2 linked regions of the Drosophila melanogaster genome follow. The protein of the gene in region 2 purifies or fractionates together with the protein of the main gene of each other region. This does not show direct contact. Each region holds a gene or a part of one and is shown on either strand. Other genes may lie near its edges.

What was found. The genes of interacting proteins can lie anywhere in the genome.
Region 1: the proteins of Bap170 (region 2) and Taf5 purify together in Drosophila melanogaster (affinity purification with western blotting; one study listed by BioGRID). This does not show direct contact.

The regions. Positions count from the first base shown.
Region 1 is NT_033778.4:10,877,872-10,881,471, forward strand, and holds the start of Taf5 (TBP-associated factor 5), read right to left. Parts: upstream 1,803-3,600; 5' UTR 1,735-1,802; coding exon 1-1,734. Other genes in the region: Pex6 (peroxin 6), read left to right, coding at 2,136-2,162, 2,457-2,969, 3,033-3,600. UniProt on the Drosophila melanogaster protein: TFIID is a multimeric protein complex that plays a central role in mediating promoter responses to various activators and repressors. May play a role in helping to anchor Taf4 within the TFIID complex.
Region 2 is NT_033778.4:6,634,762-6,638,717, reverse strand, and holds the start of Bap170 (brahma associated protein 170kD), read right to left. Parts: upstream 2,207-3,956; 5' UTR 2,030-2,206; coding exon 1,788-2,029; intron 1,724-1,787; coding exon 708-1,723; intron 538-707; coding exon 1-537. Other genes in the region: Trap1, read left to right, coding at 2,731-2,863, 2,940-3,956.

The DNA.
Region 1 (3,600 bases), 4.2 Mb from region 2:
CGATCCCTTGTGGCCCGTCATCAGGCGTACCGACTGACCGGTCATGTTGTCCCACAGGCGTACCGTGCGATCGCTAGAACCGGTGGCCACATAATTGGAATTGGGATGAAATTGTACACAATCCACGTCCGACAAGTGACCCACGAATACGCGCAACGCTTGATTGGAATCCGTGGCCCACAGACGAGCAGTTTTGTCGTACGAACAAGAAACAAAATAGTAGCCATGCGGCGCAAAGCGAACATCCCACACCGGGTAAACGTGCCCGCGGTAGGTGACTACGCAGGACCAGGTGAGCAGAGACCACAGCCTTATGGTGCTGTCCTCGGAACATGAGAGCAACAGGTTCATCTCGGGGGCAAAGGCACAGCGGTATACGGGTCCGGTGTGACCCATTAAGCTCCTGGTTACCTCACCACTTCGGTCATCCAGCATACGCACATTGATATCCGCCGATTCCTTGTCCAGTTCGCGAAGGGAATCTGCATCCTTCAGCGTACGCAGCTTCGCGGGCGTCAATGACCAAATCCTCACGCTAGAATCGCCAAATCCACAGGCCAACATCGTGGAATCGTCTGAAATCTCGGCACAGGTTACGCCCTGATGGGAATTAAGCACCGTGTAGAAGACGGCAGAGGGCAGTTGATCCTTGCTGAGGGCTAAACGCTTGCTGGCTTCCCTGAGAGCCTTAAGCTTTAGCAACTTGTCCGAATCCTTCAGTTCCGGCAGGGGAATTCTGTCGATGGATGGAGCATTCGGATCCGACTTGGACTTTTTCGACAGCAGGGGATCCTTTTTTGGCTTTTTCTTTTTCGGACGATCCGGGGCATCCGGATCATCGTCCTCCTCCTCTGGTGCCGGCGCTGGAGTGGTCAGAGTCTGAAAGTCCACCTCCTTGAGCAGTCCGTAGTACACCCGCATTTTGTTGTCCTGTCGCTTGGCCTCTCCGAGGTGCGAGCCCGCGGTGGCGACGCACTGCAGCTTGTTGCGCGCCATGCCCTCGTATGTGTCGAAATGCAAGTACTTGGAAACAATATCTGCCACCACTTCCTGCCGGCGATCCTGAATGTGTCGCTTGAACAGAGAGTGCGAGTCCCTGGACATGCGAATGACAAACTTATCCTGCTCCATGGCTACTACGAGGTCATTCTCCAGCAGCTCCTCGGGCTTAGACAGCAAAAGAAGGTTGAAAAGACCCTCTATGTAGTAGCCGTCGAGATCGCATTTGTACTTCTCAATGAATTCTTTGGCCTTCTCCCTTAGTCCACTGGCGAGGATCTTGAAGTAGATCTGCACCAGAATTGGGTACAGAACCATGGACAGCTCATGCTTGTATATGTCCAGGGAGTCCTCAACGAAAGTGCGCAGCTCCTTGTATGCCTGCTCATAGTGCTGAGCATCAAAGCTGTCGTCGTCGATGAACTTGGCCAGTTCCTCTGCAGCATTGGCCTCCGTCACCGCGGACTGTTTATGACCCTGCGCCGGAGATTGGACATGTTTCCGCTCCCGGTTGGCATCGCCAGCTCCCAAAACTGCGCCCAGCACCTGCTGAACATCACTTTCGCTGATTTCCGACAATTCCACACTGCTCACATTCGCCTCTTGGCAGAGCAGCTCCTCAGTGCTCTTCAGCTGGTACTTTTTGATGAGTTTCAGCAGGCACAGCAGCTCACGCTTGTCGTGGGACAATTGAGTACCGTTTCCCCCGTTTATATTGCTCACTTCCAGGCTCATTTTCGCGGAAAATTGAAATATATGGAACTTGTGTACTATTTTGTTATGCGTGGAAAAGTGTGACCAGGTTGGCATCGGTTGAAAACGGCCAAGTGGAGAATGAAATATACTAAAATGCACCAAGTACAGTCAAAATATACAGTAGCCACTAGCGAAGACGGATTCTAAAAATAAATTGTATTAATACATTATAAATTATATCTTTTTGCCAATTTTTGGAATTACTTAAAATATAATGACATATTTCATTCTTTCATTTTACTACAAAATTAATATTTAACTTTTATGCAGGTCAAAGAAATTATTTGAAGATGTGCTTATAAAGGTCTTACTGTGGACAGCTGACTGAATACTTTTAGTATTTTTTGAGCAAATATCTTACCAGAATCAAAACATTCGTAATGAAGAGGAGAGTAATTGTGAAAAAGGTAAAATACAAAGTAACTGGCCAAATAAACAAGCTAATTTTTATAGCAGAGGGTAATAATTTGCTGTGCATTAACAGAATTAACTTGCCATTGCATATTTCAGTGTATTTGTCTGGCGCCTATCCCCCAACTCCTTGAACTTTGACACCGCCTCCTCGAAATTAACCCTTGTACTCGTGCTTTCTGTTGTGTTTAGTCCATATTTATTGTAAAAAATGAATGAAAATGATGATGCGGTAGGTCCATATGTAACATTTAAGCCATATTAGCTAATATCGTGATCAATTCCCGCAGAAAAAAGTCGTCGGCAAGCGGAATTCGGTGTCGTTCGATCAACAAGATCCAGGACAGCCGAGATTTAGCTTCTCTGGGAGAGTACAGGAGCTAGTCGAGGGCTACAATTCGGCCATACAGCTGCTGGCGCCCAAGTGGCCCTGGTTCCTCTACCCCGGATATCTGACATACGCCGTATACTGGCGTTACGCCAAATATTACAAGGGCAAGTTTCTGCTGACCCCCATTCCGAACCGCCTCTACGATCTGCTGATCAAGAACGAGCAGATTAAGTCGGAGCACCTGGTGTTCGCCAGTCAGGAGGTGTACGAAAACTATGCGGAATCGCCGGACGTCAACTTTGTCAACTTGGTTATCCGCGGCAGGAGGGTAAGAATCGGTAAGCCGCTAGCTTCAGACGAAGGAAATATGACCCAAACGGTTATCAAGCAAATGCTCCAGGAGGCGCCGCATACGATTGTGGCCCAGATCTTGCCGGCTGCACAGTGCCAACCCAATTGTCTGTACGTTCAGGTGGGTATCTAGTTCTAAATAAATGGAATATTTTCTATAATTCTACATCGTGTAAAATTTCAGGAGAACTTCTACGGCAACATATTGGATCGCTTTCAAATCCGCTCCAACTGCTGGGTGCAGGTAGAGCATTTTGCCGATGAGCAGACAATACCTGGAATAGCAACCAAAGCACATGTGTACTTAGTCGCAGATCCCCATGAACTTCCCGCCGAACTGACAGAGGTCATCCTGAGCAACTATTTCAATACACCTCGACTCATGCATCGTGGACATACCTACCGCATCGAGGTGAACGCAGAGTTGGTGGGCACTGCGACTTATGCCCACTATTACCTGATATTCGCTCACCTACGCCACGTCCACCTAAAGTGTATTCACCTGGAGACAAAGGGCAGCGAGTTCGAGCTGCAAGCGATTGTTGCCAAAAACTTTAGCAACCTTGTTCAAGTGCCTGCATCTCACAGTTTCCTGCCTCGTCAAGTGCTTGACAGCATGGCCATCGTTGAGAACTATCCAAGTGGACTTCGAAAGCCCTATAAGCTGTTGCGCTCCTCAGTAGATGCTTTCCTGCCAAAAAAGTCCGCCTGCCTGTCGTCAAAGCACATATTTCCTGTGTTCCTCCTGCAAG
Region 2 (3,956 bases):
CTTGCAGCGATGTTGGAAGTGTAGTCAGGGAAGTGGGACCTGGAGCAAGAATGGCGGGCATGTTCTGAGCCAGCGAGGCAGCCATGTTTCCGGGGAAAACCTCTACGACACGCATTAATATGCAACCGCCTGTGCCATATGACTGAGCCTCCACTGTGATAAGGGTCACCAGCTGGTCTATTAGGCCACGTACTTGCATCAGCATCGAACATGGCCGAGCGCCAAGAGCACTTAGTGCGTAAACTGCCTCCAGCGTAAAGATAATCATCATGACGTCGGTAAGCGAGAGGAGCAACATGGCTCGCTGGTAAAAGTCCAGGCCAAGGCAACGATTGATGTGCTGCGAATTGCCTTCTCGTCCGCACAACTTATAGAGTATCTCCAGACAGCTCATGATCACCGCGCGGTCGTTAGAGTCAATACCCTCGCAGAGAGTAGCTAAAAGATTCCGCGATAGCTCGTCAGTGGTGGGGTCTAGCAGCTCAAATTGTTGAGCCAGGTTGCCAGCGGTCTCGAGGGCCTGGATGTGAATGTTGCCTAGAACGAGCGAAACGTGTTTCAGTTATTTTATTTTAAATTGATTCTTTCGGGATTGCTATGCTACGCAATAGTCAATTTCCTTGCAGTGTATTTATGATAGCACCTTGATACTTCGTACATTCAAAGCGCCAAAAAATATAATTTCTAAGCAGATAAAAAAAACTTACTCCATCGTACGTTTGCTCCCATGACCAAATATCGCCACAACGTGCGGTTGGAGGCCAAGAGTGCATGATTCTCCTGATGAAAGCTGAGTGTACGGACTAGCTGGACAATCTGAAGCACTCGCTGGCCCATGCGCTCATCAGTCCCGTTGCTCCGGCGCAGATTAAGGAAGTGCAACTCGTCGCAGGCCGCCAGCAGTTCACTTCGAGCGGCAGAGTTCTCACCGTCCTCCTTACTTATCAGACCGTTGTCCAGCCAGGCCTGCTCATCCGTGTAGAGCTCTAGGACCTGTGGCTTGTCGTGTAGCAGGTCGCGCCAGAAACTGAGCTGCGAATGGTGTCGAACCTCGGTGTAACTGTGCTGGAACAGCTGGCGCATGGTGAAGTCAGCGTAGACTCCCAGGTGAGCAAGCAGCACATCAAGCAGTTTGGGGCACTCGGACAGCTGTAGGGTGTGGCGCGCCTCGTTGGCCATAAGTGTGCACACGTTTATGGCGAAGTCCTGCTCATTGGGCAGCGGAGAAAGCAGAGACAACAGCAGCTTCTCGTAGCTGCTGTGTCGGTGCAACTGCGTGGACATCTTGTACTGTCGGCGTCGTTCCACATTAACAGAGTGCTGGCGCTGGTTGTAGGCCATTGGCACCGCCGGCAACGTAGAGTGTGCTGATCCAAAAATGCTTCCTAGGCCACCACCGGCGCCAGCCAAAAAACGAGATCGCGAGCGTCCACCGCCCATTTCTACAATCTCAATAGCCGCCTCCAGAGCCTCCATCTTGTCTGGATCCTCGCCAAAGAAGTTCAACCGTTCGTACTTGTCCAGGTAGCGTCTGTAGATGTGCTTGATACTAGCCGTTCCGTTAACGCAGCGCTCCCGCAATGTCTCCATGGCGCTGTACACCTCGTCCCACTCGTCCCGCATGGTCACCTTATTAAAGCCGCCTCGTTCGGTTACCTCGTTGTACAGCTTGTACAGGTCGACATGCTTACCGCTGATCCTGGCGGGCTGTGTCAATGGAGTGCTGTTTGGGCAGAGGGAAAGTGGGTTAGGTCGTCTCCAAATACAGGAGAGCCGCGGCAACTCACCCGCGTCGTTCGTGAAACTGCTGCAGGTCCCTCCAGAACTCCTCCGGAGGTGACGGCGGCATCTCCTCGACCTTCTCCGGCATGATCTGTAATTGGGCGGGATTCTTGGCGCGAAGGGGAGTCGCTGGGGCCGCAATCTTGCCCGGCGTCTGTAGATCGCCCGGCTGAGTGGCGCTGTTTACGGCGGCAGCAGGCAGCGACTGAAGCAGCACCCGTACGTTGTCGATGGTGGTGGCGCTCATGATTGGATCTTTTTGTGTGGTGGCGTGAATGGGAAACACTTAACACATGATATTCTAATAGTAAGACACGCAGATGCTAATTAAAATTATTTAAAAAACTCAACAAAAATTACAACGCGACGCTGACGCGCTACAGCAGAGTTGCATTCACGAGCAGGGCTGTCAGCAATTGGACCGTATATCGATATGAGGTATCGATGTCTTTCAATATTGGATTTGATTTAACTTTCTTTTATTTACTGTCTTCTTTGAAGACATTTGTTATTTCATAACTCAAAAATCAGCATCCAATCTACATTGGCTAAACAATGAAACGTAATCTGTTCTTAATTCCTTCAGAATTTACGGTTTGTTGTTCACAGTTGAAACATCTCTATCTCTCTCTCTCTCTCTTGCTGATCGAAATCTTTAGAGAACTAGTCAGCTGGCAGTTTGCTTCAGTTTTGAGCTGAATAATGTGATGAAACTGAACTCTCCATTACATGTAGTAACTCTTATTCAAACCAACTAAGCATTTGAGTCCAAAATTCATTACAGCCCAGAAATTTGGAAGAAAACACCGTTATGAGTAGGGTTTTACCAGTTTACTATTATCGAATACTTACAATCGATTGATTTGGCTACACTGTGCACACATGTGCGCTGGAACAAACTTCGTAGTTGGGTAACATTAAAGTTGGGCAAAACATTAAAACAACAAGATGTCTGTACGAGCGATGGGAGTGCTGGGCCAGGCGTGCCGCCTCGGTCGCTGTGCCCAAGTGTTGAGGCAGAGTCACCGATCCGCCCCAGCAGCGTTCAATATCACCATTGGATCGCAGCATTCGCCGGGTGGTAAGCACTGAATATAAGCAACCGGCTCCCCGGAGGGATTCTTATGTTTACATAACACTCATCTTTTCACTTGCAGCTCTCTCGCTCCGTCGCTACTCCACGGAGACCAAGCAGGCATCAGGATCAGTGGTGGACAAGCATGAGTTCCAGGCAGAGACGCGCCAGCTACTTGACATTGTGGCTCGTTCCTTATACTCCGACCACGAGGTCTTTGTGCGCGAGCTTATTTCGAATGCAAGCGATGCGCTGGAGAAATTTCGGTACACCTCGTTGAGCGCTGGAGGCGAGAATCTGGCTGGAAAGGACCGGCCTCTGGAGATTCGTATCACCACCGACAAGCCACTGATGCAGCTAATCATCCAGGACACGGGCATCGGCATGACCAAGGAGGAGCTGGTCAGCAACCTGGGCACCATTGCACGCAGCGGCTCGAAGAAGTTCCTGGAGCAGATGAAGGGGACCCAGCAGGGAGCCAGCTCGGAGGCATCCTCGAACATTATTGGTCAGTTCGGCGTGGGCTTTTACTCTTCCTTCATTGTCGCCAATAAGGTGGAGGTGTTCACGAGGGCGGCTGTGCCTAATGCACCCGGACTGCGTTGGTCCACGGATGGCAGTGGAACCTACGAGATCGAAGAGGTGCCTGACGTTGAGTTGGGAACGCGAATCGTGCTTCATTTAAAGACCGATTGCCGTGAATATGCGGACGAGGAGAGGATCAAGGCGGTAATCAAGAAATACAGCAACTTTGTGGGCTCACCCATCTTGCTTAACGGAAAGCAGGCCAATGAGATCAAGCCTCTGTGGCTTCTTGAGCCACAAAGCATCAGCAAGGAGCAGCACCATGACTTCTATCGGTTCATTAGCAATAGCTTCGATGTCCCGCGCTTCACCTTACACTATAATGCTGACGTACCCTTGAGCATCCATGCACTGCTCTACTTCCCCGAAGGAAAGCCTGGTTTATTCGAGATGTCTCGGGACGGAAACACCGGTGTGGCTCTTTACACCCGCAAGGTGCTTATTCAGTCCAAGACTGAGCATCTGCTGCCCAAGTGGCTGCGTTTTGTAAAGGGTGTTGTCGACTCTGAGGACA